Linked DNA regions of Drosophila melanogaster. The protein of the gene in region 1 interacts with the protein of each later gene in a pairwise test. Each region holds a gene or a part of one and is shown in the gene's direction. Other genes may lie near its edges.

What was found.
Region 2: the proteins of eIF2alpha (region 1) and CG5808 interact in a two-hybrid assay, tested with the Drosophila melanogaster proteins (one large-scale study listed by BioGRID).

Annotation. Positions count from the first base shown.
Region 1 is NC_004354.4:16,438,553-16,454,629, reverse strand, and holds eIF2alpha (eukaryotic translation initiation factor 2 subunit alpha), read left to right. Parts: upstream 1-7,636; 5' UTR 7,637-7,750; coding exon 7,751-8,445; intron 8,446-8,744; coding exon 8,745-9,075; 3' UTR 9,076-9,454; downstream 9,455-16,077. Other genes in the region: eIF4H1 (eukaryotic translation initiation factor 4H1), read right to left, coding at 2,545-2,711, 2,839-2,928, 3,071-3,355, 4,030-4,316, 4,451-4,756, 5,901-5,932; CG34015 (uncharacterized protein), read left to right, coding at 6,410-6,599, 6,668-6,858, 6,932-6,970; rngo (rings lost), read right to left, coding at 9,872-10,240, 10,304-10,589, 10,654-11,137, 12,610-12,847; Cdc50 (cell division cycle 50), read left to right, coding at 13,428-13,488, 13,705-13,973, 14,218-14,413, 14,468-14,803, 14,868-15,033, 15,344-15,389. UniProt on the Drosophila melanogaster protein: eIF-2 functions in the early steps of protein synthesis by forming a ternary complex with GTP and initiator tRNA. This pre-initiation complex mediates ribosomal recognition of a start codon during the scanning process of the leader region.
Region 2 is NT_033777.3:24,807,473-24,823,806, reverse strand, and holds CG5808 (uncharacterized protein), read left to right. Parts: upstream 1-6,799; 5' UTR 6,800-6,854; coding exon 6,855-8,488; intron 8,489-8,550; coding exon 8,551-8,878; 3' UTR 8,879-8,904; downstream 8,905-16,334. Other genes in the region: niki (nimA-like kinase), read left to right, coding at 1-451, 512-680, 738-923, 977-1,209, 1,262-1,406; Saf-B (scaffold attachment factor B), read right to left, coding at 1,641-2,013, 2,082-2,507, 2,561-2,710, 3,040-4,078, 4,958-5,004, 5,107-5,221, 5,369-5,396, 5,457-5,945 and 1 more; CG34150 (uncharacterized protein), read right to left, coding at 8,943-9,109, 9,173-9,254, 9,315-9,458, 9,510-9,530; CG6980 (uncharacterized protein), read right to left, coding at 15,239-15,470, 15,543-15,665, 15,724-16,121; lili (lilipod), read left to right, coding at 10,157-10,231, 14,321-14,445, 14,562-14,701, 14,762-14,992, 15,142-15,210, 16,327-16,334.

The DNA of each region.
Region 1 (16,077 bases):
TCTACGATTGTTTGCCCTAACTGCTTGCTAATTTCGGTTAGTTTTGCATTTGTGTATTTTGTTTTAATTTATTGCGGTTGCTAAGAGTAGAATTGCTATTTAATCCTGGCTTACTCGATCAGTTTCGTCATTAATCATAGCACAATCGTATATTTATTTATATCTGCGTGTATATATAGATGTTTTATGATGTACGTTAATGTCTAACTCTTGCTTTGTATAAATTCTCGTTTTAGTGTTGCTTTGCTTTTGGTTTATACGTTAATTAATTTAAACAATTCTTTGTCCTTGTCTTTATGGGCGTTTTAAAATGCATATCAAAGTTCTTAATTAGGTATAGAGCAGCAATTAAGTTGTCAACTCGATCAAGTTATTAATTCATTCACTTTCAATTAGTTTTTGTCGCTCGTCTTTCGATTTTTTTCATTCTTTCTTTCGTTTTTTTTTTTATTATTTTTGTTGTTGTTGTTTTTTTTTTTAAGGAGTTACAAATATTGTTTGTCCACTTTCGTTAGTGTAAATCTTTGACTGCTTACGGTATTGGTGCTAAAAATTAAATTTTAAGTTTATCTTTAGCTTTAAAGGTATATTAAACGTAATCTTTACTTTAACTGCTACACACACTCTGATCTGATCTGTATACCTATTTGCTTCTTTGCTGGTTCACTCTGGTTTCTAAGCTGGTCAAGTCGGTCAAGTCGGCTGTGCATTTGAGATATTGAATTGGACTGAACTCGACTGGATTGGAGTGGAGTGGATTCGATTGGATTGGATTGGATTGGTTTGGATTATCTTATCGCAATCGAAATGGACAGGGGCTTGGTGTCAGAATCCGGAGCAGGACATGGCCGGCTCGGACTGGACAACAAAACAATTGGATACTTCCAACAACGGGTTATGATTTGATTATTTTGTATATATACAAAGTGCTGACCTTTTTTTTTTCTGTGAGCCGCACTCCGAAAAAATCGAATTTCGAAATCGAATTTGCGAAGGAAAACACCAAACCGATACGGTACACGCTTATTTAATTTGTTTTCGCTTTATTTTCAAATTAATGTACAACTTTCGCGATTAATCAGCTCTTGCAAGGTACAAAAAAAATTGTAAAAAAAAAAAAACTGGCGAGGAAACAAAGAGGATGACGTTAAGGAAAAACGCTCTTACTTATGCAAATAATAATTGAAACACACAAACAACAATAAAATGTATACATTGTTTTCCATATTTTTCTTTTTTTTCGTCTTATATCAAGGTTATCTACAAAGAAATCAGATCCTATGTGCACGATAATTTAATGTTAGAAATGTAAATGTACACATATAGGCAAAGAAACATTCGAACCGAAGCTAATTGTAAATAAAATTGACCTAAATATGTGAAGTGCATAATGGGTGGATATGGATATCCAAATTATATTTGCATAATTTGGTCGGCTTTGACTTTTAACACTATCTTCAGCTACATAAGACCTATGTAGTTGATTGCTTTTCGGTAGCTATATAAGTTTTCTGTAGTGAATCTGAAATGATAACTTTTCCGGTTTTTTTTTTTTTGTATTTTTTTTTTTTATTTTACGTACTTAGTGGATGTTCTGCTTCTCTGCGATTTGTTTTGTAAGATCTGCTGTTGGTGTTTTAATTTCATAAGGTATGTCTGTTCAATAATTATTTTTGTTATGTTTTTTTTTGTGTGTTTTTTTTTATCTTTTTTTTCCTATATAAACTGTATAAATTGCCTGCCTGCTACGCTGAACGTTTTGTCAAAAAGTTTTTGTTTTCGATTTTTGCTTTGTTTTTCGAGTTTTTTCTTTTTTGTTTTGCATTGTTTTCATTTTTTTGTTTTGTTTTACTTGTTTTTTGTTTACTATTTATACCTTAATGGTAGAACTTTCCTCCTCTTATGTTTTGTTTTGTTGGTTTATATCCATCACTTAACTAACAAATAGCAGCGTGCATACAGCTGCTGTACAATGAAGCGCACATAACCGTATATATATATATACCATATATATATATATACTATATATATTGGCCATATGCACGAGACTAAAGTTTATCGCTGCTTAAGGACTAACATTTAAAGACTTTCCATTGCTGTTGCGGATGTTTTCTGGTTGCAAAGAGTTAGAATAGTTGCATTATTGCTGCTTGGCTTTGTTGCTGATGTTGCGTGTTGCATGTTGCTTGTTGCTTGTTGTTAAGTTGCTTGCTGACTGACACTGGACACTGACACAGAGACACAGAGGCCAGCCTGTTGTTCCATCTTCGTTCTTGTAATGTAGTACATATCATTCGTATATAATAGGTATGTAGCGTAGTGTTATTAATTAATGTATGTGTTTATATATGCATGCTGCTGATGCTCCTTGTCATCGTCATCATCATCATCATCCTCCTCCTCCTCCTCCTCCTCCCCCCTTGCTATTTCTGCTTCCTCCTCTTCTCTTCCTCGCCTTCTCTCCCTCTATCTCGGATTATCTCGTTCTCGCACATCAAAATATCATATCAGGCATATATTGTATTGCGGACCAACTCCAGCCCTCTAGTTATCGCCGTTGTGATTGACATTCTGCTGCAGCTCCTTCAGCTTCTCTTCGCGCGGCTTGGCGTTGCCAAAGATCGAGGCCGATTGCTTGGTCTCTGCCACCGCGTTAATGGGCGCGGCAATGGTCCGTGGCTTCAGCTGCAGACGTGGCCGCTCATTGTCGTCTGCGGATATGAAACGGATAGGTAAATTGATAAGTGGTTGATCGGTTGGGCAAACTTAAATCCTACATGTACATCATTCAAATGCAATGAATGAAGTACTACGAAAACCTGCATTAAACTGACTTACTAGTACGTGGTACGGCTAATTGTGATACTCTCGATTGACACATATTTGAAATAATTCTTGAAATCGGTTTCTTGAAATGTCTAAAATTGTCTGTGGGCAGGGAATGGATAGGTAAATTAATGCTTTGCAAATATGGACAACAACATGAAATTCTCCTAGCGTTTTGTTTGAAACAAACTATCCTCGACTATCCTCCCATCTACATATGTATGTACTTATTATTACAACTCACCAATGGCGCCCATTGAGGAACCACCGCCAACGCCTAGGCCTCCTGATCCGCCGGAGCCGCCGCCAAGGCCGGTCATGCCGCCACTGGGACGTTCGCTCTGCTGGTTGGGATTGTAGTGGGTGCGCTCGCGGTCGCGGTGCCGGTTGAAGTTGTTGTAGCGATCGCCGTCGCGCGACTGGTTGCCATAGCTGCCTTCCCGCTGACCGCGATCCCGATCCTGGTTACGCTCGAATGGTCGATCGTCGTTATTGAAACTGCCGTACCGACCACGATTTGCCGGCCGATCTGCAACGGAAGCAACTAGATTAGTGCCTGTGGGCCATGTGGTAACCTGCTTACAATTAGGCTCAACATGCTAGCTAAATGCAGTTCAAAGTAAAAAGCGTGCGAATGTGCTTAAGCTACTGCTACAGGGGAGCTATCAATATGGGCGTTTTCAATGGGCGCAAACTAAGCTCAAAAGAAGGTTGGAAATAGGCGGTAACAGCTAGCAGTCCAGGAGTAATAAGTATGTAGCAAACCCACTTCAAAAGAAATTAACTTGTCGATCAGTTTCGATTAACCATCTGTGGATTCCTGCCAATCAAGGACTCCAACATGTTGTTCTTTCAATTCTTTAAATAATGATGTGCACAAACATACTACTACTACTTCTACGGTTGTATAGTCTTTTCTTGTGGCAACTCCTTGAAACATATAGCAAAACCAACGCAAGATCAGAATGTAGAACCGCAGTAGGATGCCAAGGTAGGAACATAAACGATAATCGAAACAGAACAATGGGGGAAATTCTACTTTCACTTTCGAGGATTGCAGCATGGATGTGTCTTCCAGCCATGCGAATGATTTAGAATCGTTATAAGTAATCAGTATAACTGGTTTTTGGCGGCACTACGAGGGATGCAGCTACGTGTTGGTTGGTTGGTTGGTTGGTTGGACGGCAGATAAAAATGCTTTACCATTGTATCCTCTATTCATGCCACCGCCGGAGCCCGCGCCGCTGCCGCCGACGCCGCGACTTCTATCATTGTGACCACCATAACTATCAATGTACGAACCTCTACTATCGCCGCGATTACCCGAACCGCCGCCGCCCTCCCGACCGCCGCCGCCAGTGCCAGGACCTCCCCGGCTGTAGGACTGACTGCTGCCGCCCTGGCGAGGTGGGCCGCGCTTCTGGAAACCGTCTCTGCCGCCGTCGCCGCGGGTCATGCCGCCGTTGCCGCCGCCAACACCGCCACCAGGGCTGTAAGAAAGTCCAAAATATGGTTAGTCAAGTGATAAAATTGGGGAATCGTTAGAAAGCTCCATGTGCTCTGTTCGTATGGAGAGCTCCAATCGATTCAATCTAAAGTATACAATCATCTGGTCTCAACTCACCGATCATTTTTTCTCCGATCGGCAATGTCGATCCTTAGCGGCGCCGACAGATCGTCCAGTTTGATCCGACCATCGCACTCTAGCGCCCGCTCCAGATTGTCCAGCGTCTCGAATTCGACGTAGCAGAAGCCTTTGAACTGATCCGTTTCCCGGTCCTTCACCAGCCGCACGTACTTCACCTCAAAGTCCTGGAATATTTTGATCACATCGCCCTGCACAAGGCCTTGCGGCAAATTGCCGACAAATGCGATGAACGGCGGTTCCGTGGGCAACTGCTTGGATGCCCGATCCCCACCGAATCCGCTTCTGAAAAATATCGAGAAATAAAAATGAATGGTTAGTAGAGTAAGTACACTAATAAATTTAAAGGCAATGAATCTTGGAAATGGGATGCACCCATGAAAAACCTATTCTGCATGTAGTATGTTAGCTTCTAAAGTTGGATTACAGATCCCCCTCTATAGATTTGCGCAACCAAAGCAACTGCATGGTGTGCTCGATTCTGGCTCCTGGTATTTGCTGTGCCCCTTTGTGTGGAGGATTACTCCGTGGCCTGGGAACCTTGACATCGAATCCAATTAATGGGGGTGTGTCTGTCTCTTCTTCTTCTTCCCTTTTGAGGGACTGTGGTGTGAGGGGGGGGGTGGTGGTGGTTTGTGGCGCCACCCCTTGGGGCAAAACGCACATGGTCGGCATTTATCTATGTGGCCGGCTAACGCTGGCTCGGATTCCCGGCAAACAGTCAACAGAGATGCAGGCACAAATAAAAAAAAAACCGAAGAACAACAAATGCAGTGGGACAGGTGTCAAATGGTGAGGGGGGTGGGGGTTAAATCGCGCGCGCTTTTTGGCGAAAATTGCATTATGCATGGAATTTGCAACTATTTTTGGGTTCATATTTTCTTCTTCTTTTTTCTTTTTTTGATGAGGGGTGGGGGGATTTTAATGTGAAATCTGCCGGTGTGCTGTCAGCGGCGTAGTCGACGTTGGCGCCGACGACAGCTGCAGCAGAGTTTTCCAAGAAAAACAACGCAAGCGATGAAAAGAATCGACAAAATAAAAACCGAAAAAGAATGTTAAGAAAAAAAAACGCACACTGCCCCTCACACACACCACACACACACACACACCACACACATACGCACACGCACGCACGTACAAAGGCGGCGGCGGCGGCGGTGTCGGCGACCAACGACCGACACGTACAATACACATGCACATTACTGTATGGGTGTGCGAGCGGCGAGGCGAGAGCGTGCGCGTGTGTTGGTGGGCTGGTGTTGCCTTTTTTTTTGCCCAAACCCCAAAAAACCGCGTGCATTATTACACATTTTGCCCAGATTGTCGGCACTCGCGCAATTCGATCGCATCGCGTCCACTTTCACAAGCACCGGCGGTTCGCGGCCAACGCGGAGCGTACGCTATTGCAAAAATAATTAATAATATTTACCTAGCGTGTTCATAACCACCTCTTCCAGCCATGTTTTATTTTTTTCAAATGAGCGAATTCGCTGCAAACCGCAGTGTGAACACACGGGCGAAAAATACTATCGCGGCGAATTTGGTCGGGCAGTGTCACCACACCAATTAGCTGATAGCCGCCTTTCTTAGTATTTTGGTCGTTAGCAGGGACGCATGCCCAATTGCGTCCAATTTTCAGATATCGATTAATATTTATAGTTGTTTAGCATTCTACAATTGTTCCTTTTCTAATGAAACATTCAAAAATGACATTGAATACATAGAGAGGAATACATATGTTTGTATAAATTTTTTTGTTGAAAAAAATAATACTAAAAGTAACTGGACACAAATGGTTTTTTTTAATACTGAAAATCTATTTAGCGGTATTTTTTTTTGGAGCACCAGGATAGTTCTTATCGTTATCGACAGTACAACTAATCAGCTGTGAAAGTACAAACTGCTATATTTTATATAGACTGAACTTAAAATTAAGTCATGGCGGACGACAACTGCATTTTCTGCCTAATTTCCGATGGGCGGATCCCCTCCACTGTTTTGGAAGTCGAAAACGATGACTTTGTCATCTTCCAGGACATTAAACCCGCTTCCCAGCACCATTACTTAGCAGTGACAAAAAAGCACTACGCTAGCCTCAAGGATCTTAACAAATCGCACGATTCTTTGGGTAAGATTGGAATTGGCGTGACCTCGGGCCATGCCCTAATAATTCTGATATCCTTGGATTCCTTACAGTGCAGCTCATGGAGAACGCCCTGAAGGATCTTCTGGTGTCCAAGGGAGTTTCTGTCGATGATGCCCTCTTCGGATTCCATCTGCCGCCGTTTATCACGGTGAAGCATCTTCACATGCATGCCATTAGCCCACGCACCCAAATGACCTTCCTATCTAAGATGATCTTTAGACCCTCCGTTTGGTTCAAAACCGTAAGTATTTGGCTATTCTGATTTTGACCACTTAGAGGCCCGCTTTAATTTAATCTTATCTATTTAATTATAGGTCGACGAGGCGCGTATTTACCTTTCCCAAAAAGAATAGATCGGGACCATCATAGATAACTGTTAGATAAATATATATTGTACTCGCGCGCTGTCATAATTAACTAATAAACGGAGCCAACCTATACAAATATTCTAATGTTCTTTAAATTAAAAGTGTAGCTTCTAAAAAAACCGATTCAAGCTACATGTCATTACATATTTAATGGCCTTTTTGTATGCGATAATATGCAACCTTTTAAAATGTTCTGCAAATTTAAACAGATAAATATGAAAAATGAAAATTTGACATATGGGAATTATCATCATAACATGGATAAAAAGTGACATATAGATAAAAGAACAACTGCTTTTTATTCCTATTTATCAGTATTAGCAATCTATATAACTTTTTGAGAATTTAACTTTTGGGTCAATTTTCGCAATTTTTGTAATATTGCAATAAATTTAACAAAAATTAACATTTCCAATTTGAAATTGATTGGTATTTAAATAACAAGCTCGCCAAGGGATGGCATTCCACATTTGGACTATTATTTCGAATGTTCTGATCAAAATTAAAACCAAAACAGTAAAATTTGAAATTGACCGGCAATCCATGTGACAAACAATCGATAGACCGCTGCTGCCCCACCTTTCCAGTGTGACCAGAAGCAATCCAATTGGCAACGTTTTGCCGGCTACGCAATTAAATATCGATAACACCACTGTCATACCTTACGCTTCTTCTTCTTGCGCCCGCTCGGCAGAAATTGTACACGTTTTTCATTTCGAAAAGTCCAAATTGCCCATTTTTTGGCCATAGACCACAGACTTTAACATGGCCCTGACGTCGCGCTTCTACAACGAGCGGTATCCGGAGATCGAGGATGTCGTTATGGTGAACGTGCTGTCCATCGCCGAGATGGGCGCCTACGTTCATCTGCTTGAGTACAACAACATCGAGGGCATGATCCTGCTGTCGGAGCTGTCCCGCCGGCGCATCCGCTCCATCAACAAGCTGATTCGTGTCGGCAAGACCGAACCGGTGGTGGTTATCCGTGTTGACAAGGAGAAGGGCTACATCGATCTGTCGAAGCGTCGCGTTTCGCCCGAAGATGTCGAGAAGTGCACCGAGCGCTTCGCTAAGGCCAAGGCCATCAACTCACTGCTCCGCCATGTCGCCGACATACTCGGCTTCGAGGGCAACGAGAAGCTGGAAGATCTCTACCAGAAGACCGCCTGGCACTTCGAGAAGAAGTACAACAACAAGACGGTCGCCTACGACATCTTCAAGCAATCGGTCACCGATCCCACCGTCTTCGATGAGTGCAACCTGGAACCGGAGACCAAGGAGGTCCTGTTGAGCAACATCAAGCGGAAGCTGGTCTCGCCCACTGTCAAGATCCGTGCGGACATCGAGTGCTCCTGCTACGGTTACGAGGGCATCGACGCTGTCAAGGCATCGCTCACCAAGGGCCTGGAGCTGAGCACCGAGGAGCTGCCCATTCGCATCAACCTGATAGCACCGCCACTGTAAGTACCTGTAAACTATTGTAATTTCCCTTGGTGTAGACGAAATTAACGAGGGTTTCTTTAATTAAAAGAATACGAAAATTGTAGATTTCTGTTCTTCATTTTAGCCGAAATTTATCGTTAAATAATAAGGAAATCCCTTTCATCTTGTATATATTGTAAATGACCACTTGGTTAAGAGAAAAACTTATATTCAATTTAATTTTACAACTTCTTGTGAAATCGAAATAACTAAAAATGTTGCTTAAATGAGTTAATTGGTTCCTAAACGTAATCGCTCTTCATCCGTATCCTTTTAGCTATGTAATGACCACATCCACTACCAAGAAGACAGACGGTTTAAAGGCTCTGGAGGTGGCCATTGAGCACATTCGCGCCAAGACCAGCGAGTACGATGGAGAGTTCAAGGTGATCATGGCACCCAAACTGGTTACGGCCATCGACGAGGCGGATCTGGCCAGACGCCTGGAGCGCGCTGAGGCCGAGAACGCCCAGGTGGCTGGCGACGATGACGAGGAGGATGGCGCCGACCAGGAGGGCATGCAGTTCGATCCAGAGAAGGAGTTCAACCACAAGGGATCGGGGGCGGGTCGTGCGAACGAGGAGGATGAGGAGGAGGAAGAGGATTAGCGTAGCCACAGCATCAGACACAACTATAGCAACTGTAACAAACAATTAAAGGAGTTTTGCAAAAATCAGAAGTTGTAATTTTATAATTTATATACATAACATATAACGAATGCTATTAAAGATTTATAAAAGTGAAAACAGCGAGATGCCCAAGAAGACAAATCAAAATGCGCTTGCTCATCTTTTTCTTTTCAAATCCAAAACAATACTATCGACCATTTATTATTGAACCCAATTCAGTTTTTCTTGACAGACCCTTAATACTAATTCAAATTGTGTATAAGTGTAATATTATTTAATAGTCAGGCATTCTTTCGTTTTTCTTTTGTATTTACTTGTTTCATGTTTTCGTTGATGCGGCTTGTTTCCATCACCGTCCAGATTTTCATTCATTAAATTTTAGATTATATCGCTTACTATTCTCTCTAGAAAAAACCAACCCACCTCTGCTTTAAAAATGACCCGGTAGTGCTGCGTAGCACCCTAATTAGATATTGTACATCGTAACAAACGATTCGTATAAAAAAAGTGACATCAGTTTATAAACATTTCACTAAATTAGAAAGGTTTTCGTTTCGGTATTCATTGCTTTGTGGTTGTGTATAGTCCTTACTATTTCCTATTTGACTTTATATGTGGCGTGGCGTGGCTTATTATTTGGTATTGCTCGGAGTATTTCGTTGGAACGGCTTCCAGTTAATGGGGTCCAGTCTGTTCATCATCCTATTGCAATCCGGTTTCTGGCTATGGGGAGTTCGGCTTTAGGTGGTGGTGTGGGCTGTGCGTCTAGCCGCGTTCAGCTGAGTTCGCTCCCCGAGGCGGCATCGTTGCGGTGGAGCAGCACGGACCTGGCCGCCTGCTTGTTACCGCCGCACAGGCGCAGCACGGTAAGCACATCGCTGCGAGGATAGCCAAGGGCCATGAGATCGGTGACATCCTGTTCGGTGAATCGTTCTTGAGGACTGATCGTGTTGGGCCCGCCACCGGCGCCACCGCTCTCCCGTTTGCTTTGCTCGATTGCATTGGAAATCGCCTCCTGTTCCATCGAATCCTCCGAGTTTCCTGTCAGCCGGGCGCTGACCGGCAGCTCACTTTCCGGCAGAAAGGGTGTCGTTGTTCCCGTGGTGCCAATAATCAACAAATTACGCTGCAAGTCAATCAGGCACTGGAAAAACCAATTCAATTAGCATTTAGGCGACGTAATCTGATGCTATCTAGATTTCATTACCTGATGTCGCTTCAGCATGTCCAGACCCAGCAACATGTCCATGGGTTGCTGGCCCAGCACGGTGAAACTGGACGTTAGGTGATCGTTCTCAATCTGCAACTGGACCATGTGTATCCTGCCCAGAATGGGCTGTGTGCCAACGCCCTTGGCCACACCATTCCAGCGTGTGTCAATCAGACGGTTGACATGGCATCTCTCGGCGCAGTCTTTGCTCATGATCGTCGTCTGGGCGCCAGAGTCCACAAAGGCCTTCACAGGAATGCCATTCACTTTGCAGTTGATATAGCTAATAATATGCAATATTGCAATGAGCCAATCCAATCATATTAATTATTTTTACCATTACTTACAGCATTGTAACCGTGCCAAAGATCTCTGGATTGTATTCAATGGCAGCCGCCATGTTATCCTGGATATTCTTCTGCTTGATCTCTTCGGCAATCAGACGTTGAGTCTCCTCATCGAAGGGATCGGCGTTTAGCATGCGCATGCGGTGCTCGTTACGACGCTTTCGCTCCGTAATATGCTCGCGAAGCAGCCGAGCGAACTTTTCCTTGTCGCCGGAATCGATGGCTTCCGCCAGGCTGGGATTGTACTGCCGGAGGAGCGACAGAGTCTCGGGACTGGACAGAAACATCTGTCGCACCGTCTCTGGGTCGTCGTCGAAGTTCACATTGAACTCATCGGTCGTGGGTATGTCCGTGAGGTTGTTGAACTGCGGCTGCTGCACTCCCTGCTGCTGCACCCGCCTTGACGGTGGACTGCCGCCTGAACTAGTGCCCGGCACGGCGATGTTGCTGAAGTCGAGCGTGCTGATCGCTGGATTTCCGCCAACTGAAATTTTTGAATGAGACGAAAGATTAATCGATTGAGGTAGTTTTCTATTGCGTTTCTTTACAGGATTACATTTGTCAATATTCGAATCGATTACATTGAATATAGTTTAAAAGACAATTTGTGGTCAGTGCAGTTATCTGCTACAAATCGAGAAAATTATCAACATATTTACGCGTAAAATGGAACAAATTTTGAGAAAGAAAGAGCAAGCAATACCTAAAAACCTCAACAAATTTTGCCCAAATATAATCTGGCTTGCAGATTGTGAAATAAATGATTGCGTATAACTCATGCTAATTACCATACAACAAACATTTATATACATATGTGCATATGTATAAACGTTTGTCGAGATAGATTAAATCACCGTCATCCAATTTGAATGGAACTTAATTAATCTGTGATCTATAATCGAATTAAAAACATCAGACTAGCGAGATAAACCAATGCAAGTGCAGTTGTGTTAACTAGATAATATGTACATATCTGTAGATAAGTGATATGTAGTTGAACTCATTTTCTGGCTGCCAAATGAGCTTGCTCGCGTGCGAGTCATGGAGTCCAAAGTGCTGTGCAATGGTCAAATGAAATCGAAAATTGTTCACCGCCCACACCTGTCTGCAGTCGCCAAAATGTGTGCACATGTGTGCAGAAATACCATTCATACATATGTACATATGTATATAGCAAAACAATTATATATACACGATCCCATTTCAATGGACAAGCTGACAAGGCCAAATGCGCATTCAGGGGTCAACAAAACAGTGGTCCGGCCACAGTGGGCGGCCCAAGTGGGTGGATCCATGGGGCTGAGACTGAGGCAAAGGCAACGCACCTGCTGCTGCTCCTCCACTTTCATTGGTATGCCCATTCCTCACCGAACCCGAACCCCCCTCTCTGCTGCAGTGGAAACAGCACACACTTCCAGTGTTCTTTCCCGTGTCTGTGTGCCGCTGTTTTTTTGGAATTTGCGAAAAGAAAGTCAGACGAAGCAAGGCGTTTATTTTTAACACCAATTGCGCCGCAAAAAGATGAGCTGTGCTCGCTGCGCTTTTCCATAAAAATCTAGCAACTAATAACGCCAACAAATTAAAAAAAAAATGAGCACAGTTCAAATTTCACATTGCAAAAGTATTGTTAAATGAAATGTTCGCACTACGTATTCGGGGTTTCCCGGTTTTTCCTAAATATTATGTTGCTGAAGTATTTTTTAAGCGACATTTGAATATAAACGTGTTATGGATCATGTAGGACAATAATTAATTTTATTATTGTGCGAATTCGCGTTATCTGACCAATGAACCCCCTTCACCATCCTCCAAAACACACTCAAGATCCCCCCCCCTCCACGGGGAAAAACGTGACCCACATAAGGATAATGGCTCCCCCTCTCTTCACCCCGCTCTTTCCACTTTCCCATCTCGTTTCCATTCCAACGCCGAATTTCAACTCTCTCTCTCTCTCACCTGGGCGATTGGCGCTCCTGCGTCGTTCCAGCATGATGAAGTCGCCGTCGCCGACTCCGCACTGTTGCAGCGTCTGTTTGTCGCTGGAAAGCTCCCGCCCGTTGAAAATTACCGCTATTTGGGACACTTCCGCACCGATCTCCATCGCGCAGAGGGCCTTGAGATTCTCCAGCTCAAGATCCTGGGCCACGTCCAAGCAGAAGACCTTGTCATCGCTGGTCGTCACTGTGATTTTCATTGCCGCTGCGTACTGTGTGTATGTGTGTTGGCGTTTCTGTGTTACCGTGGTTTAGGTGGATCGAATGTTAGCGAGCGCGGGTATGTACTGCACTGGTGGGTGGCAAAGTGAATCACAATCTCTGCTGGTCTAGCCTTTTCGCCTTTATCTTTGCTAGCTGGATGGGTGTGCTGATATTCTGCTGCTCGCTTATTGTTTTGACACAACAACGAAAACGCCGCCTCCACGCGGTTGCATGCGACGCCTTATCGATACTATTCGCGGTCTGACTATCGATAGTTGAATGGGATGGCTAGAGCATTGCTCATTTGGAGGTATTACGACGAATTTGGAGAGACAAATGATTTTCCTCTTACCTTAGTTTAACATATTTCTCAAAGGTAAGCCAAATGGAGCAAAAGCTAAATATAGATAAAATTTCATCGATATATACCATCACTGCAGGTATCGATACATATCGATGACTCATGTGCTGTCATCGAAATTTTATTGTATTTACTTTATTCAATTGGAGTCACTTGCAGCGTTTGGACACCAAGGAGCTTTTCGAGGAGCATAGCGAGAAACCAGATAAGCCACCATGTCCACACAGCAAGCGGAGAATGAGGAGAGTGCAGCGGCGAAGTCCAAGCGACCTTCAGGTGAAAACCCAGTTTCATGCGAGTCGCCCCATCCAAATCCCAATCCCCCAATAACACACTCACACACACTTGTCTGCGTAACAAGTGATAAGGAGGGGAATGACTAATATCCAATGGCAAATCGATTTTCGGGGCCCATCCTGGTGTCCCTGCATTAACCATGAGGTCATGCCAAGTCGCTCACGTTTGCCCGTTTCCCATGTTGTCCACCCACAGATTCGGCCTTCAAGCAACAGCGCCTGCCCGCCTGGCAGCCCGTCCTGACCGCCCGCACCGTACTGCCCACCTTCTTCGTTATCGGAGTTCTATTCATACCCATCGGCGTGGTCCTGCTCCACCTGAGCAACACCGCCAACGAGCTGATCATCGACTACACCAAGTGCAGGCGCTCGGGCGGAAATACCACCTGTGCGGAGTATCTGGAGGCCAACCCCGGCGTTACGTGCCCCTGCGAGGTGCCCTTCGTCCTGCCCTCGGACTTCAATGTGAGTTATAGGGATCCAGAGCTTCAGTAGCTGTCCAGCTCAATTAATCAGCTCTTAGTTTAGGTAGTGAAGTAGTTCAAATGAAAAGCTATATGCTGCTTTTATAATCTGCAAGGCATTTATCAACATTGCTTTTAGCAGGTTTGGAAAAGATATTGATGATATTGATAGTGGATTTGGATTCCTTATAATACTTTAGAAAGAGATTCTCATTTAAGTATTTCGTTAACTTCCTTTTTTAAAGGGTGTGGTATACATGTACTACGGACTGACCAACTACTATCAGAACCATCGGCGCTATGTGAAGTCACGGGACGACGAGCAGCTGCTGGGTCACCTGTCGCAAACGCCCAGTACAGACTGTGCCCCCTTCGCCTATGATCCCGATTCCGGAAAGCCCATCGCGCCCTGCGGTGCCATTGCCAACTCGCTGTTCAATGGTGCGGCACAGAAACTACCTTGACTGTACCGCAACTAACATTGATATCTTCCAGACACGCTGACCCTCTTGCAGGGTGGATCCGAGATCAAGCTGCTGAAGACGGGCATTGCCTGGCCGTCGGACAAGCGCGTCAAGTTCCGAAACCCAGAGGGTAACCTGAACGTCTCCCTTGAGGGCTTCTCAAAGCCAATTTTCTGGCAGAAGGGTCTGGCCGACCTGGACCCGGAGAATCCGGACAACAATGGCTTCCAGAACGAGGATCTGATCGTGTGGATGCGCACCGCCGCTCTGCCCAGCTTCCGGAAGCTATATCGCCGTCTCAACCAAACGAACACCAACTATGCCAACGGCCTGAAGTCTGGCAATTATACGCTTAACATTAAGTATAGTAAGTACGAATGGCTGGGATATCGCGAATGCTGTATCTAATGTATTTGTGTTTTGCCCTTCAGATTATCCGGTGGTGTCGTTCGACGGCACGAAGCGAATGATACTCTCCACCACATCCGTGCTCGGTGGCAAGAACCCGTTCCTGGGCATTGCGTACATTGTGGTGGGTGCCATTTGCATCACCCTGGGCCTGGCCCTGCTATTTATTCATATGCGATGCAGTCGCAGGTGAGTTGATCATCGCACATCGTTGATTCATCCTCATTGTACCGATCGTCATTCATCCTGCCCTTATCCCCCACTCCCACAGCATTATAGTTCATTAAGTCTGCTAAGAGTCGAGTATTTCATTCCCCATTGAAGCCGAATCGTTTCTCATGGCCAAATTAGCGTTTTGCTCGGTGCGCGATAAGTATTGACAATTAAGTAGCGTTTGATAGTAGCGTTTTACCTAATCGGGCACTGGCCAAAATGATTGACACCTCCTATACTAAGGGCTCTTGAACTAATCATGGTTTTATTTCTGTTTACCCAACAGCAACATGGAGATGATCAACGTGAACCCGCACACGCAGTACTCCTAGACCGAGCACCGTCAGTATTCCGGGCCGCTTCACTTAGCTTTAGTAGATCCATTTCTTTAAGCCTTATCAGCATAAAATAGTTTCTATTAACCCATTTCCATTAACGTGTTCTCGACTGCTCTTCTATTTTTTATGTTTTCTAACTGTGTGCACTTGGCCACGCGATGAGCAGCTGTCCAAGTGCCTTTTGTTGATGTTCTGTTCGTCCTTGATCCTATATGTGTGCACCCAATTTGTGATTTTTTCTATAACCTATTCCACCGCACATCACACACAACAAACAGTGGATACCCTTTGCAACATCCACACGAATTTCCACCATTGCTTTAGAAACAGCAAAGTAATACTTTGTGCCTGACTTAATCTGCATTGCCTTTTACTACGTTTATACGCGCAAATAAACATTGTTAATGGCATAGCTCTCTTGTTTTATTGGCAAGTAAATGGGGCCAATTTGAAATTAAGCTATATTCCTTGCTAATATGGGATCGTAATTAATAAGTTTAGGATTCTGTTGAAGCTTTTCTAAATAGTCGTTAAGATGTCTGTTATTTTCATCACAAAAGAAAAGTACAATCGAATTCATGTATTTAACCAATGTTAAGCGAATAAAATTGGATGACATTATGAAGGAATTTGATTCGTAATCCATGTGGTTATCAGTGCTACTTAAGAATTTCCTGCTGGA
Region 2 (16,334 bases), on another chromosome or scaffold:
TGCCGCCGAAGGCTGTCATCGTGGACGTTGCCATGTCGGATTCCCACTTCGTGGTGGTAAACGAGGACGGATCAGCATACGCCTGGGGTGAGGGCACCCACGGGCAGCTGGGTCTCACAGCTCTGGAGGCTTGGAAGCACTACCCCAGTCGTATGGAGAGCGTGCGCAACTACCATGTGGTGAGTGCCTGCGCCGGCGATGGCTTCACTATCCTGGTTACCCAGGCGGGAAGTCTGCTAAGCTGCGGCAGCAATGCCCATTTGGCACTGGGACAGGACGAGCAACGCAACTACCACAGCCCCAAGCTAATAGCCCGATTGGCAGATGTCCGGGTGGAGCAGGTGGCCGCTGGACTCCAGCACGTTCTGGCCTTGAGCCGAGAGGGAGCGGTCTACGTCTGGGGCACCAGTACGTGCGGTGCTCTTGGCCTTGGAAATTATCAGCAGCAACAGTGGGTTCTAGGAGATTATAATTCATTATTGTCATCTATCTCTATAATTCATAATCCCAGGAAATTCCCCCAAAAGATTCTGTTATCGCATGTGAAGACCAAGCCATCAAAGATTTACTGCGGTCCTGATACTTCAGCTGTCTTATTTGCCAACGGGGAACTACACGTCTGTGGTAGCAATGACTACAATAAACTCGGTTTCCAACGTTCGGCGAAGATTACTGCCTTTGTAGGTCCACAACCTTGAGTTACCCACTTATGCTTACCTTATAGTTCTCATGCGCAGAAAAAAGTCCAACTGCCTCACAAGGTGACCCAGGCGTGCTTCTCGTCCACCCATTCGGTGTTCCTGGTGGAGGGCGGCTATGTTTACACCATGGGTCGAAATGCGGAGGGTCAGCGGGGAATCAGGCACTGCAACTCGGTTGATCACCCCACCCTGGTGGATTCGGTTAAGTCTCGATATATTGTGGTTTGTATTATTCTGTGTTAGTTGAGAAATCCCTTCTAAACCGTCGCATGTAGAAGGCGAACTGTAGCGACCAGTGTACCATTGTCGCCTCGGAGGACAACATCATCACCGTTTGGGGTACTCGTAATGGCCTCCCGGGGATTGGTTCGACCAACTGTGGCCTGGGACTGCAGATCTGCACACCCAACATGGAGCTGGAGTTGGGAAATAACACGGCAGCGTTTACAAACTTTCTGGCCTCGGTCTACAAGTCGGAGCTGATACTGGAACCGGTGGATATATTAGCGTATGTTTTCATTTTGCAACAGGGATTTTATTTTTACCTGCATCTCCTGCAGTCTCTTCTCTTCCAAGGAGCAGTGCGACCGTGGCTATTACGTCCAGGTGCATGACGTTTATCCTTTGGCACATAGCGTTCTGGTGCTGGTAGACACGACCACGCCACTAATATCCTCATACGAAGGTGATTACCCGCACCTATAGGTTCAATAAATCCTGCAGATGTAACATAAATGTATGCGCATTTTCAACATAGTTTGATAATACATTTATTGGTTTCCAAATGTAATTTTAAGTTTTAGAACTACAACTAAAGCTCATTATATTAAGAGCAGCGCTCCTGGGCGCTGCTGGAAAAGTCACTCAGGGGGGTGTGTTGGATGTGGGGATGCATGCTTGGAAATTCGAATTGCCTCATTTTATGTAAATGCACATTTCCTAGTAGCGCGACACCGGTCCGCTGTAGCGATCCTGGGCGGGTCGGCTCGCGCCGTACATTCCGCCTGCTCCTCCGCCCCCACTCTGCCCTTGATAGCCGGTTGAACGTTCGTTGTAGCCGCGATCGAAGCGCGCGGGCACTTGCCGCCAACCGTTGTCGTCAACGGGAGCAGACTTTTGCCACGAATTGGTGCTGTGCATATTCGAGGACATGCCGTTGTTGCCGTATGACTTAATTTGGTTGCCGCCGCCGCCACCGCTGCCCAGGTGAGAGCTGCTTCCGCCGGATGATGGCGCCCAGATGTTAACGCTGTTCGAACTGCTGCCGTAGGCTCCACCGCCGCCGCTGGAGTTGTCATAACGCTTGTTACCGCTATAATAAAAAATTAGAATAGTTAGAATCCATCGTAACTAGTTTAATTCTATTGTTAAAACTTTTACAGGCTGTGGGAGTCGTCGCGTCTATAGCTCGATGTGTTGCTGCGATCGGAATCGTTGTAGCGCCCGCCAGTGCCGCTGGTGTTGTTCTTGTGGACGTAGGATCCGGCTCCGCCACCGGCTGTGTTGTTCTTGTGCAAATACGAGCTGCTTGAGCCACCGCCGACAGTTCCTGAAAGTGGCAAATGACGGACTTCATCGCGCTTATAGTCGTCGCGCTTGCTAGAAGAGGAGGCACTATAATCGTTGGAGCGCTTCGTGGGCACGGCAGTATAATCATCGACAGCGCCACGCTTGGATCCAGAAGAACTGCTGTAGTCGTTACGCTTGCTGGAGTAATCCAATCGCTTGCTGGAACTAGAATAGTCATCAAGCACGCGCTTGGTGCTCGACGAGGATCCGTAGTCATCGTGTTTTTTGTCATAGGTGCTGCAAAGACATGATTGTAACTCGCAAGTTATTTTCTGTGGAAGAATACTTACCTGCGGGAGCTGACTAGATTCGTGTCGAATCTCGGTGGTGGTGGCGCATCAAAAATAGCTGTGCGCTTACGATCAGTAACGTCTCCATAGCGGTCGTCGGCACGTTTGCTTACCCCGCGCTTGCCAGGATCATCGCGGGACTCCATGATCCTGTTTGTGTAAATCGACAAGATTGAGAGGAAGAGAGATGGAAGAAATAAAAGAGTTGAGTTAGTAATGCTAGTAATGTCAGTTCTGGAGTGAAGTGGGGGTATCAGACTCAGACTTTAGACTAGGATGCATTTGCCTATCAACGTTCCGCTTAAAAGCAATTTGAGTTGAAGAAACAACGTGGAGGCTGCAACTTAACACGCTAATCACAAGGACAAATGCTTTCCGAGAGAGTATAAAATAAATATATTGGTATATCTGTGTTGTCGCCTCTGCGTTGGCACGAGTGCAACGCATTACGGTCTGTTTTGGTTTTTTTTTTAGCATACTTCATCTGTTGTCGCTTCAGCTCGAGGCGTTCCAGCTCGATTTTTTCTCTCTCCAGCTTCTGGCGCTCGCGCTCCATCCGCAAAAGCTCGGCCTTCTCCCGCTCGAGCCGTTCCCGCTCCACAGCGAGCTTGCGCCGTTCTTCCTGCAGACGTTCCTCTTCGATTCGCTGGCGCTCACGGGCCTCCCGACGGCGACGCTCCTCCTCACGCAGCTCACGCTCCCTTTCCCGAAGGCGCTGGCGCTCGCGCTCCTCACGTATCTTCTGGTAGGACAGCATCTCTCGTTGACGACGCTCGCGCTCCCTCTGGCGCTGCTGAATCTCACGGTCGACGTCGCGTGGATTGCGCCCCGAACGATGATCCTGACTACCCTTTGCGGATCGCTCGCGATCGTGGCGCGGTCTATCCTGGCTTGCCAACGACTTGCCCCGGTCATCGTTGCGACGGCTGCGGGCCCTGTTGCTCTCCTTGCCATCACGCTTTAAATCGCCACCAACAGACTTGCTGTCGCCGTTTCCATCGCCGCCCTTCTTGTCATCGCCACTGTTGGAGCTGGAGCCCTTGCCACTACCAGACTTTTTGCCACTGTCGTCTTCCTTCTTCTTGTTTCCGGCGTCGCCCGGAGCCTTGCCCTTGCCCTCTTTGGAATTCAAGCTGCCGCCAATCTCGTTCTTGGTACGCTCCACCGAAATGATGCGTCCATGCAATTCGGTGCGGTGCAGATTTTCGATGCAACGCGAGGCGTCTGCCGAGGAGGACATGGTCACGTATCCGTAGCAGCGAGTGCCCGGAGTACGCGTATTGGTGACCACCTTGGCCCCAATCACCTTGCCAAACTTGGAGAAGATTGCCTTAAGGTCGCTGGCACGGGTTAAAGTGGACAGCCCAGAAACCCATAGATTTCGCGACAGCGTCGCCTGCTTGTTGTTTGAGTTGGCCCCAGTACCATTGCCAGCACTGGAACCGGATCCCGATTTACTGCCAGCGGCACTCGATGCAGTGGAGGATGTGGCACCACCAGGTGCTGCTGTCGATTTCTCTGCAAGTTCCATGTAAATAATAATATTGGAAGAGAGATATGGTCAGAGCTTTGAGTGGGCTTAACTGGTTAACTGTTTTTGTTTATGATACGTTTTTAAGGGAAGCATTTTGTGAACGCACACATTTTGTAGCTGCTGCAGATGTTGGAGTTTAGAGCACAATCGTAAGATTACCGACAAACTTCACCTAACGAAGCTAAGAGAGTATGAATTTGATTGGGTTGCTGATGAAAATCCATTGCGGCAGCAGGCTCGCTTTTTGCTGAAGGCGTTCAGAGTATAGAGCAGCATATCCAGAGCTGACTGTTTAAATAGCTGTCAGTTTCCATCGTCATCCACAGGTAAGGCCAGCATATCCTAGCCAGGATCGAAATAAGTGATGTAATACAAATCCAGTAGTTATCTGCCGAGAAGAATTAAAAATATCCGCACTTCCCAGCTGCAGTAAGGGAAAGGTGCCATCCATTTATTCTCCAGATAGCCTCATTTTATATTATAGGCCCCTCAACGGAGTATTTGCACATACGCCTATTGATGACCAATGTTATAAACTCCTTGGAGAACATTGGGATGTGTGTTTGATTAGTATGAAGTTTCCGTCGAAGTTAACTGGAACAAACACTAAGATTAACTCGAATTGCTGAATTTAAGATGCATCGCTGCTCCTGAGCCGAATTCTCGCATCCTTGTTGATAAGAGTCCCATGTCCGTGTCCCAACCAAATTCACACTCTCTTGCACGGTCTTTGATACATGTTCCTCAATGGTTTAGTCAATTTTTTCGACCTTAACTGGGTTCATGCTTGGTCTGATCATTCCCAACGCAAGACCATCCGAACACACCATTCTTATTCATGCTAAAACTTTAACTTAATTTACCTTTATCGTCCTTTTGATTCGACGACTTTCCTGAGGACTTTTGTTCACTATTTTCCATAATAATTTATGCACAATCATGTGGCGAAATGAAAAGAAAAAATATATTATGTTATTAGAAGACATGTCACAGAAACGTTTTCAAATCTTACCTAGAGTCCTTCTTATCACCGGATTTCTCATCCCTTTTCTTGGAGCGAGCTCCGTCGTCATTCTTCTTGTCGGCATCCTTCGAGTTAGACTTTTCGGATTTATTGGCCGGTTTGACTGTGAATCAGGATAACTTTTATTAACATATTAGCTTTATTTCTTGTATTTCGTATTTCTTAATCGATTGCATGAATACAAACGCCATGATATTTCTAGTCATGAATTATAAATTTTCTATGGTTTTGAGTGATACTGCAAACATACCAGACTTAATAGATTTGTCGTCGGAAGCCTGAGGACAAAACAAATTGGATTAGAATACATCAATTTAAGGCCAAATAGTTAAAATCACCTCATCGTGCAGCAGCTTCTGCTCGTCCTCCCCAATTGTCAAATTGATTGACTCGTCATTGTCCATATTTCCGGTGTCCCCGGTGTTTTCCTCCTCACCATGGATAATAGCCTTGTCGTCGCCATTGTTCTCGGCTCCATCGTCCTGAGCTTTCCCCTCGGCATCGCCATCACCGCTCTGGGGCTCATCGTCGTACACATGATCCTCATCCTCTTCATCGTCGTCATCCAGGATCACACACTCATCGTCCACATCTCCCACCTGGTCAATCTCATGCCCATCGTCGTCGGCATGATGCGAGTAGTCGTTGCCATTCTGGTAATCATCTTGCTGTTCCACCTTCACCTCCTCCTCATTGGCATCGATGGGCTCTTCCTTGATCACCACCTCCGACTGGAGATCTTTCATGGGCATGGCAAACGGCTTCTTGGCCTTCGCGCCCGGCACAATCAAGTGGGTGGCCGGGTCGAGCCCTTCAGCTCTGAGTGACTTGAAATTAGAAAAAACCAGGCGTTGCTTACACACATTCATAAATCCCCGGAAATTGCATCACTATCTCTATCGCCAGCGGCACTGAACCGCCATTTAAGTTGCATACATATTTGTGGACTTACTTTTTCAAGGCGTTCGATGAGCACCGCCTTGGGGCCGACTGTCTCCAACTCGCGTTTCTCCAGCTCACTCTTTAGATCGCACACGCGCAACTCTGCTATTTTCTTTCCTGCCTCGGGCATTTTACCTTGTTCTAGATCACTGGTCACTTGCTTAACTATTAATTGTCGCTTTTTAAGATTGGAATGAAATTTTCTGTACTTTTTTCCAGTCTCGAAACGTGTGAAAATTCTTTGACAAGTCTCACTGATACACACACAATTATCGAATGACAATCGAAAATGGCGATTACGAAGTTACGTTCTGTTTTTAAAATATTCAATCGATGTCAAGTATCGGATGAACTTACGCATCGTGTATAACTATTTACATTTACAGGTATGGACTTCTTTGATCAATTTGTATTTTCTTTATTTTTTTTCAGTTTTGTTCAGTTTGTATTTTTTTTACTTTTTTCTCAGTTTAGGGTACATAAAAAAAAATATTTTTTTTTCAAAATTTATGTAAAATACCAATTTTGTACAAGTTTCATATAACACCGACATAAGTCACATTAAATTAATAATTGTATTAGAAAATTTGGATAATTAATTTATACCTACAATTTATACACTTCTCTCCTCCGATGCGCAGTAGAGATGGAAAAACATCGATGATTCCTCGAAAAACATCGATGTTTGTGATTTTTCGAAAGCATCGATGATATCGATTTGGCATCGATGTTTCTCCACCTCTATATTGTTCTTGTTTATCCCTTGATTTTGCCGGTATCTGTGAATTCGCACAATGTCGGTGGTTATAGAAACCACGATGGGTGACCTGACCGTCGACCTGTTCATCAGCGAGCGCCCAATTGCCTGCCTAAACTTCCTCAAGCTGTGCCGGCTGAAGTACTATAACTTCAATCTATTTCACACGGTGCAGCAGGGATTCATCGCCCAAACAGGCGATCCGAGTGGAGCTGGAGACGGCGGATCCTCCATCTGGGGCGTGGTGGAGGGTCCGCAAAAGCGCTTCTTCGAGGCGGAGTTCCTGCCCAAGATTAACCACTCCAGTGCCGGAATGCTATCGCTGGTCAGTGCAGGCAAGAATCTGGTGGGATCCCAGTTCTTCCTCACGCTGGGTGAGAACCTAACATCGCTGGACGGCAACCACTGCGTTATCGGTGAAGTGGTGGAAGGTCACGAGGTGCTGCGCAAGCTAAACGACGCCATTGTTGACGACAGCTTCCGTCCTTACCAGGATATACGCATCACACACACTGTTGTGCTTGAGGATCCGTTTCCTAATCCGCGCGGCCTTCAGGCTCCAAGTCGCTCACCTTCGCCCAGTGCGGAGCGTCTGAAGAACGGGCGCATCGCTGCCGACGAGGATATCGATGACACTGATGGCATGACCGCGGAGGAGATGCAGGAGATGCTGGCCGAACGAGAGGCCAAGGCTCGAGCCACAATCCTTGAGATTGTCGGCGATTTACCCGATGCAGACATGGCTCCGCCAGAAAATGTCTTGTTTGTGTGCAAACTCAATCCTGTTACAACCGACGATGATCTGGAGATAATCTTTAGTAGCTTCGGCGTGCTTAAAGGATGTGAGGTGATTCGCGACCGCAAAACGGGAGATTCTCTGCAATATGCTTTTGTGGAGTTCGAGGATCAAAAATCTTGTGAGGCCGCATATTTCAAAATGGATAATGTGCTTATCGACGATCGACGCATCCACGTGGACTTCTCCCAATCCGTTTCAAAGGTCACCTGGCGGGGCAAAGGACGTGGTATTGAGGGCGACTATAGAAAGCTGGATTTTAACAATTTGCGAGACGACAAAGATCACAGGAAACCAAACAATGGCCGGTCCAGAACAGAAGACCATAAGGAGCGCAACAGGACGGAAGATTTTCGAAATAGGATGAGCTCTGCAGAGCGAAGAAAAGCGAGAGAACAGCGACACCAGGAGCAAAGCGAACGAGATGTTCGAAAGAATTTGCAAAGACGCACCAGATCGAAGGAAAAAGATGAAAAAAGTGTTTATAGATCGAAAAAATCGCAAAATGAGTCAGTCAGAGAGAACTCAAATCGCGAAAGGAATCGCAATGAAAAAAGGTCATCGAGGTCTCGGGATGCAACACATAGAAGGTACTCTAGGTCAAGAGATCGAGAAGAGAGAAGGCCTTCTAGGCCTAGAGACCAATTAGGAAGACGTTCTAGGTCAAGGGACCAAAAGGAAAGAAGACGCTCTAGGCCAAGGGAACAAAATGAGAGAAGGCGTTCTAGATCTAGAGATCAAACTGGAAAAAGACCGACTCAAAACAGAGATCGCAATGACAGCAGGCGATTCCATTCCCCTCAAGAAGGAAGACGTAACGATGAGAGATCGCATAGAGAAACCTCCAGGAATCAAAGAAGATCGCCAGAGCGGAGGTAAAAATGTTAAGCATCTGGATGTATACAAAATCTTTAACTATCTATCTATCTTTTTATAGGCAACAATCCAGGAACCGGGAAGACCATAGAATGGACACTCACTCAAGCCCTAACAAGAGTCATGAGAAGAAAAGAAAACTTTCAGTGGAAAAGAGCAAAAAGCAAGCCAAGAAATCGAAACGAGCAGCTAGCAGCAGTTCAGATTCGAGTGAAAGTTCCTCGGAATCCGAAAGCGACTCCACATCTTCAGATAGTTCCGAGGACAGCTCTAGCAGCTCCTCATCGTCGGACGATCGCAGCAAACGCAAAAAGAGTACAAAATCCAAGCAAAAGAAGTCCAAGTCAAAGAGTAGTCACAAATCGAAGAAGAAACATAATAGAAATTAAAGATAAACGACGTAATTAATCAGAACAAAACCATCTTGACTACAGCTAAATATTGAATATATTTTTATTTGTTGCGGGCCTGGACTTCGGCTTCCAGCGCCGCCATCGCAGCGCCACCGCAGCAACCTTCAGTGTTTTTGTCGCCGCGTTGCCTGCGCGGTTTTTCGATAATTGCGTCAGGATTAAAGACCACATTGTCGAGTCGCGTTGTCTCTGGCGTGATCCTTAGTTCTGTAAATATAGCCAAATTTTAATTTTGAGCGCTCTTTTATGTAATCGCCATGCCCCACTGACCATAAACACCATCCTCTTTTTTCTGGGCTTGGATGACATTCGTTCGCAGCTCCAAATCCACGTCCTGCGCCAGCTTGATCATCTGTAATTTGCCAAATTGCCATATATGTACTTAGTTAGAATTTACAAAAAGTGGTTAAACCTTTTGAATTTCATCCTCGCTGCTTTCATTACGATTCTGCAGGAAAGATTCGTTGATTTTTAGTCGTCCCGCCGCCAAAGCATTGGCATCCCCCTGAAAAACGTATTGTCGTGTACGGTGGAGCTTCTTGAAAGCACTGAGAACCTGGAATACAAACAATATTAACCGATTATTTATGATTTTAAGTTAATTTACCTGGCGCCGCAAATTGGACATTTTTGTATGGTAACAGCTGACAGATGTAAGGTTGCCAGAATGTCTGAACCAATTGATAGTTTTTAGGGTTACAGTTTTCTTAACTTGAAGATATTGCATTGGTATAATATTTTTTTCTCTAATAATAGAGGTCAATAAAAATTTTAAATTCAGTATTTTCTTTCCAATTCAATTTTTTTTTTTTTAGAGATTCAATATTTTCCTTTCTAAACGTAAGCACATACATCGAAAGCTATCGACCTATCGTCAATTGTCCACCTCTAGCAGATGCGGTCAATCTGACGCCAGTTTATAGAAATCTTTTAACGTTTCGGTCGTAAATCGGCTCGAATGCTAGTAGAAAATTAGTGACCAGCGCAAAACGGGTCGAAAGGCAATGCGGCATCAAAAAGTTAACTAAATTAATCACAATTACCGTGCGAAATCAGACAGTGCAGCGCCACAGCGACTTTAATTCAGAAAATTTGTAACCTGGAGCGCATTACTAAGAAGGACTGTTGCCCATAGGAATTTGACAGACTCTGGCGACTGTCAAATGTGTATGTAACATTTTTAAGTGAGGCGTGATCTAGGAAAAATTGTGAAAACTGGCTACCAGCGATAAATTGTCCAAATATTTCGTGGGCATGGACGAAGAGGAGGAGGAGGAGGTTACGGATCTAAAGCTGCAATTGTTCCACAATACAGTACGCGAGCACATTGTAAGTGTTTTTCTGGATTGAATTCATCCCCTTTCCACCCAATTTCCCACCCCACTACGCATAAAACAACAACAAGAACTCAGGGCGCAGCTGTCCCTATTGTTGTTGTTCTAACTGTACATGTGGCTGGGTGTAAAATGCGTGCGACTTCTGGAAATTACACACACTTCGCCTGGTCTTTTGATAAACAGAGAAATCAGTTGCTGGTCGTCTACAGAAATGTATTTGTTTATGGTTCTGTTATCGGTTTCGGACTACAGTGGTCAGCACATTCGGCGCCTGCGTTTGGGCTTTGTATATAAAATCGGGGAAGGAAGTGGCGGCGATAGCCACTCTCTTCTTGCACTTTCTATTTGAGCTGCGAAAATTATCACGCAGACACACCAAAAGTGGCCCACACGGACGGACACCTGTTGTTAATCAAAGAGTTTAGACACAATCGATGATTCGACGGCGAGATACTTGCTACCATTACCAAGCTTTATTCGTTTCTATTTTATTATTAGAACTTTATAAACAAATGTTTTTTTACATGTTCTTGTTTACAATTAGATTAATTAAGAACAATAGGTTCTTAAAATATATGTTTTAAATTTCATTAAAATATTACTCTCCATTCTTGTTGAATATTTAAATTCCAATATCCAAATGGAAGGCAGGCTTAAATAGTTTCATTAATAGTTCCCAGTAATGTTGCCCTTAAGTTAATTGGTTCTTGTGAGTTCATAAGCCCTATCAGAATGCTTAGGTTTTGCTATTTGAAAAATGGAAGGTAACTAGAAGTCCAAGGTATTGATAAGATAATCAACAAACTTCACTTAATTGGTACCAATATCGTAGAACTTTCAATTGAAATCAAATTTTAAACAATTCAGGCAAAAACAAAGAAAGGCAACATAAGCAAAAGCAACAAGTGAAAGTGTTTCACTCGAGCTACTATTTATAGAAATGTTGGGCGTGTAATAAACGAAACCAGTGATTTATGTAAACAACAGACTGAATCGAATAAAAACACATGTTTATTATATTGCGCAAGGCATTAATTTCCTTTTGTGAAAATTCGGTTAAATGGCCAAAACACTTGCAGGCCAGATTTCAAGTGCACGGCTAGTGGTCACGATTTGGTACCGTCTGGGTCACTGAAAGTGTCTGCTGTCGTGATCAGCTGTTGGATCTGTTTAAACAATGGCAGACGAGGCGTTAAATGGACACATTTGAAAGGGTTGGCATAGACTGGCGTAGATACAATACACTTGCAGGTTGCTTTTTATGCCACCGATTATGATTTGTACGTCTATAAATACACATTTCTTTCATTGAGGATGATTCTGTGGAACTGGAACAGGAACAGGAAATGGAAACTGGTTTCAGTCAGCGGTTCTGATTGCATTGGATGGCCGAAAATTGAATAATTCGTCAGAATGTGGGTCAACATACCGAATACGTGATGTGTGGGACTCCATGCAATAATGAAATGCAAACAACGCAAAGCTCTCATAAATAATTCAGGAACCTAAAGCCAAACCCGAATTAAAACCACTAATGCCAAGTGTAGTAGCAGGAAATTCTGAGAAAATACATACAAACTTATTGTGTAACACCACACTTATGTTCTTAGTCATTTCCCAAGTAGTGATTAGGGAAAAGTCTGATGAAGAAACTGAATTGGGTAACTTAAACCATGACCAAAAGTCTTGCAAATGCAGTTCCCCTCATTAGAAAACACATTTTTATTTGGAGTCATTAAAACAATTGGGACGACTCATACAGCTCTTCTCCACTTTGAGAATCTGAAGAGACGCTACATTCTAAAAAATTATCTGAAATGATAAAATGAAGAGGTATCAATAGGCGTAGACCAACCCACCTTGCAGCACATATGGATACAATATATACCCCTGTTCGGCACAACTATTGGGTATAGAAAAGTATAAATATTTCGCAGCCCATTCACCGGCAAAGTTGTCTACAAATCAAGCCAAAACCCGTCCGACCGGCGATCCTCTTCCCTTCTCCTTTTGGCCTGGCCACAGTGTCGTCGTTTTCGCTGGCTTCTGGCTGCATTTTGGGCGTAGCTGCTATTTTTAGCCAAATCGTCGTCCACATTTCAATGGGCGTGTTGTGTTCCCCCTCGAGTTCATGTCAAGTCATTGACTCGTCGTTCGCCTACGATGCAAGTGCGGCTAATTCCGAGGCACAGATCGTTTAGTTTGGCCAAATCCAAATCGCTTGGAGCGTGACAAATGCCACTTGGGGCTGCGCATTGCAGTTGCACGTTTTCTCGACTGACAAGCACTAAACTAAGCTTGAAGATCGCTGGCTCAATTGTTTCCATTCAGGAATGCCTGGCGTACATATTATAAGATTCTCATATCAGTTGGTATTCGTCGCCTATGTGTTTCAAGTTTAACACGTCATAGTCTAGAAAATACACTGCGTTTCATAGCTGCATAGCTGGCCTAGATTCTATAAAAATGCTCTGTGCATATCACATTAGTATTCGAATGCCTCGTTATCTAGATGCGCAAAATGTGTACTTTTGGATGTTTAATTATACTGCAACCTTATAGTTTTGCCATTCAGTGTATCTACATTTTTCCATGATCTACACTTGGGTTCTATAAATAAAGCGACGCACTCTGCTGTTGATAGCAGGCGATTTACGTCTCTATATTTAATTTTTAATATTTGATCATATTTTTTGTCTACTGTGTAGAGAAAACTGTTTAAATGTTGACTGAAAAGAAGGTCATTTCGAATGGCAAGATGAAAGGTTGGAATCCCGAAATGCGAAACGCTGCGAGCAATTAAAGAAAATTTCATTTAATTGATCTGGTCAAATGCAGGCAGAAGAATAAAGTTATAAGTTAATTAAAACTCGCGTTGTATAACGCAATAGAGTATCTCACAGATACCACTGAAAATATCTCGAATAGCAAACAAAGAATAGCAAAACACAGCAGGGACGTGAGTATAAACTAATGTTTTTTGCTCTCTCTGCATTTTTTCCCCAAGTTTTTTTTTGCTAGCTATAACATGAAAAGTATCTTCACTTAATGATTTATTTGTGCGCCTAGACTATTGTATTTTCGTATCCATTTACGTTTTGTTTTGTTTTCGCTTTTCGCATACACAAAAAAAGCGAAAATATGACGTGTGCCATGTGATTGGCATCTATATTTCGCGGTCCCAAAAATATATTTACCCTGCAAATGATGGGTCCAATGTTTGGAAATCGCTGATGAAGATTCAAATTGCCAACCTACTCGGATTTAATAGTCAAGAGTACGGATAATCAAATGTTGCTGACATTCAATGGGATTTAAATGACCGCTATCGGTTTAGTTCTTATCAAATGTTTCATGTTTTGTCGTTGGCCACAGATAAGCTTTCTTTTGTGACCTTTGAACGCAGACGAAATTAACTTTATTGGTCTAATTGACGGTCATAATATTTCATCGATTGCCAAGTGGTTTATGGTGATATAGGGTTGTAGGCAAAAGAAACCTGAGTACCTGTTCTATATACATACATAATATTATTTTAAGCATACATACCGGAAATTGAAAAATTGAAATGTCCGCAAACAAAAGTTCAAATCACTCTGGCAATGTTTTTGACGATTAGACCCTGAAACGCTTAAAATGCCAGACTTTGACACTAAATTGAATCATGTACACATATCAGTATCAATAAGTAATATATTCACCGAGCTAGATTAATACAGATTTCCCTAACTTAACGAATCGAAAATGTTTTTGGCTAATGTGCACACAGTTGGCGGTAATGACAAATATTTATAAAAACAAAACAAAGGAGATGCGTGGGTGATGTGTTTACTTTTTGACATTTGTTTAAACACAAGAATATGTGGGGAAATGTGCTATGAAAACCTCAATAAAATAAAACAAAAAAGACAATCGAGTCTAAATTTACTTTGGGTTTTACGTAATTAACCAACCTGAGGAGGGCGATCGAAATGTTGCAGTTTCTAAGGGAAAATAAATTTGATTATATTATAGTAAAATATTACTTAGCTGATAAAACCATAAAGCTTACTAACTTGCCATGTTGCATTGTTCTTTTCAGATATTCTTGCTACTGATAATCTTGCTGTACTCCAGCTCCTATGTGGTCGTCTCACGTTTTAGGCGGCGCGACCGTGACGATCTCTATTCGAATGACGAGGACGAGGTGCTGGTCTATCGCATAAGGTGAGGCATCCAGTGGTCAACAACCTGTGTCGCTAATTGCCGCGTCACTTGACTTGCACTCGCAATAATGAATGGTTTTCTTTGCTTTTGCCTTTTCCACCCAACCAACCCCATAGCTTTTGGCTGTGCACATTCACACTGGCCGTTGCCGAAGGGGCTGCCATGCTGCTGCCCGTTTCCATTGCCAGCAATGAGGTGCTACTCCTCTATCCCAACAGTTACTATGTGAAATGGCTAAACAGTTCACTCATACAGGGTAAGTACTACATTATCCACCGAGGAACACTGACTAACCCGTTTAATATGCCAATTTCAGGCTTGTGGAACCATGTATTTCTGTTCTCCAATCTGTCACTGTTCATCTTCCTGCCATTTGTCTATTTGTTCTCGGAATCCACGGGATTCGTCGGCAACAAGAAGGGCATCCTGCCGCGAGTCTACGAAACCTTTACAGTATTTATGCTGATGGCCATTATTGTCCTCGTACTAACTGCCGTCCTAAGTGCAGTCTTTGGCATTGAAAAGCTTCAATTCTTCTGGTTTCTAAGTGAGTATATAATGTAATGATGCACGGGTGCGGAAGAGATCAATTCCAATGTCAATTGTCTTTCCGCGCCCCTGACAAGCCCATCCCCAAATTGGGATTGGATTCTGATGCACAATGCATTTCTAATTTCCGCTTTTCATGCTTCACAGATTTGGGCAGTGTTCACCTGCCGTTTCTTTATTCGTGTGTCTCGTTTTTGGGTGTCATGCTTATGCTGAGTGAGTATATAATGCAAAATTAAATAAGTTATATTTCTAGTGCTTTAAGATCGGCTTCCAGTTGCTTAATGTACTTGTCAATGTACGCCAGTTGCTTGGGATTGTGTTCACGTGCCTTGACCACGCTTTCCTCGAACTTGTCGTCTTGTTTCAAACCCTTGTAGGCGTGGGCCTGGTAGAGCCAGGCGCGGAGATTACTCTCCTGCAGCTTCTCCAACACGTACTGGCAGTCCTTGAGGGCGCGCTTATAGTTCTGTAGCCTGGTAGATGGAAATAAAATGATGAAGAAGGCTTGTTAGGATAGCTCATAAGGCTTGAAGATTGTAACTCACTTGATGTAGCACAAGGCGCGATTGCAATATGTAATAGCGCTGTCCTTAACTTTGATGATAGCCTTGTCATAATGTAGGATTGCCTTCTCGTACTTCTGGCTGCGAAATGCTTCGTTTCCCTGACTAAAAAATTATCCTTATATACAATATATTATAATTTTAGGGAGACCATTAAGTTTACCTTCTCTGTAGTTCTGCTTCGTATTCGGCTTTGGCACGTGCCTCTGCACGATCATTGGCATCCTTCTCCACCTGCTCCATGAAACTCTTCTGGTTCATATCCTTGACTTGCTTCTCATTGTCTTCTTCTAGAGACTTTCTGTTGATGACTGTTCGATTTTCTTTCACTTTAAGCCGCACCTTATCCACATCCAAGTTGTCAAAGTTGATCTTCTCCTTGGCATCGCCACCTGCCTTTGAATCTTCATCGTCACAGGGTGCCTTGTTCTGCAGTATACAATCGATCTTCGCAAGGGTTGCCTCGAACTCAGCAAAATCATCCGCGACACTGGGGTTCAAATTGCAGTTTAACATAGTTGCCTTAAGTTGGGCATTGTCTTTAACCTCTTCGTTTGCCATTTTAAAGATGTAAGGAATAGAAATTTAGTTAAGATACCGACTGGTTCGACTGCTCAGAACAGAATGTCTTTTAAGTTGAGTGGGATGTCAAAGAGACCTTTGTTTACGTTTCGTACACAACGAGAAATAAGTTCTAGATCTTACATACTAATATTAAGGCATGTACAAGTTTGGTAACCAGGACAACCGTTTTGTTTTCTTACAGTTTGCACC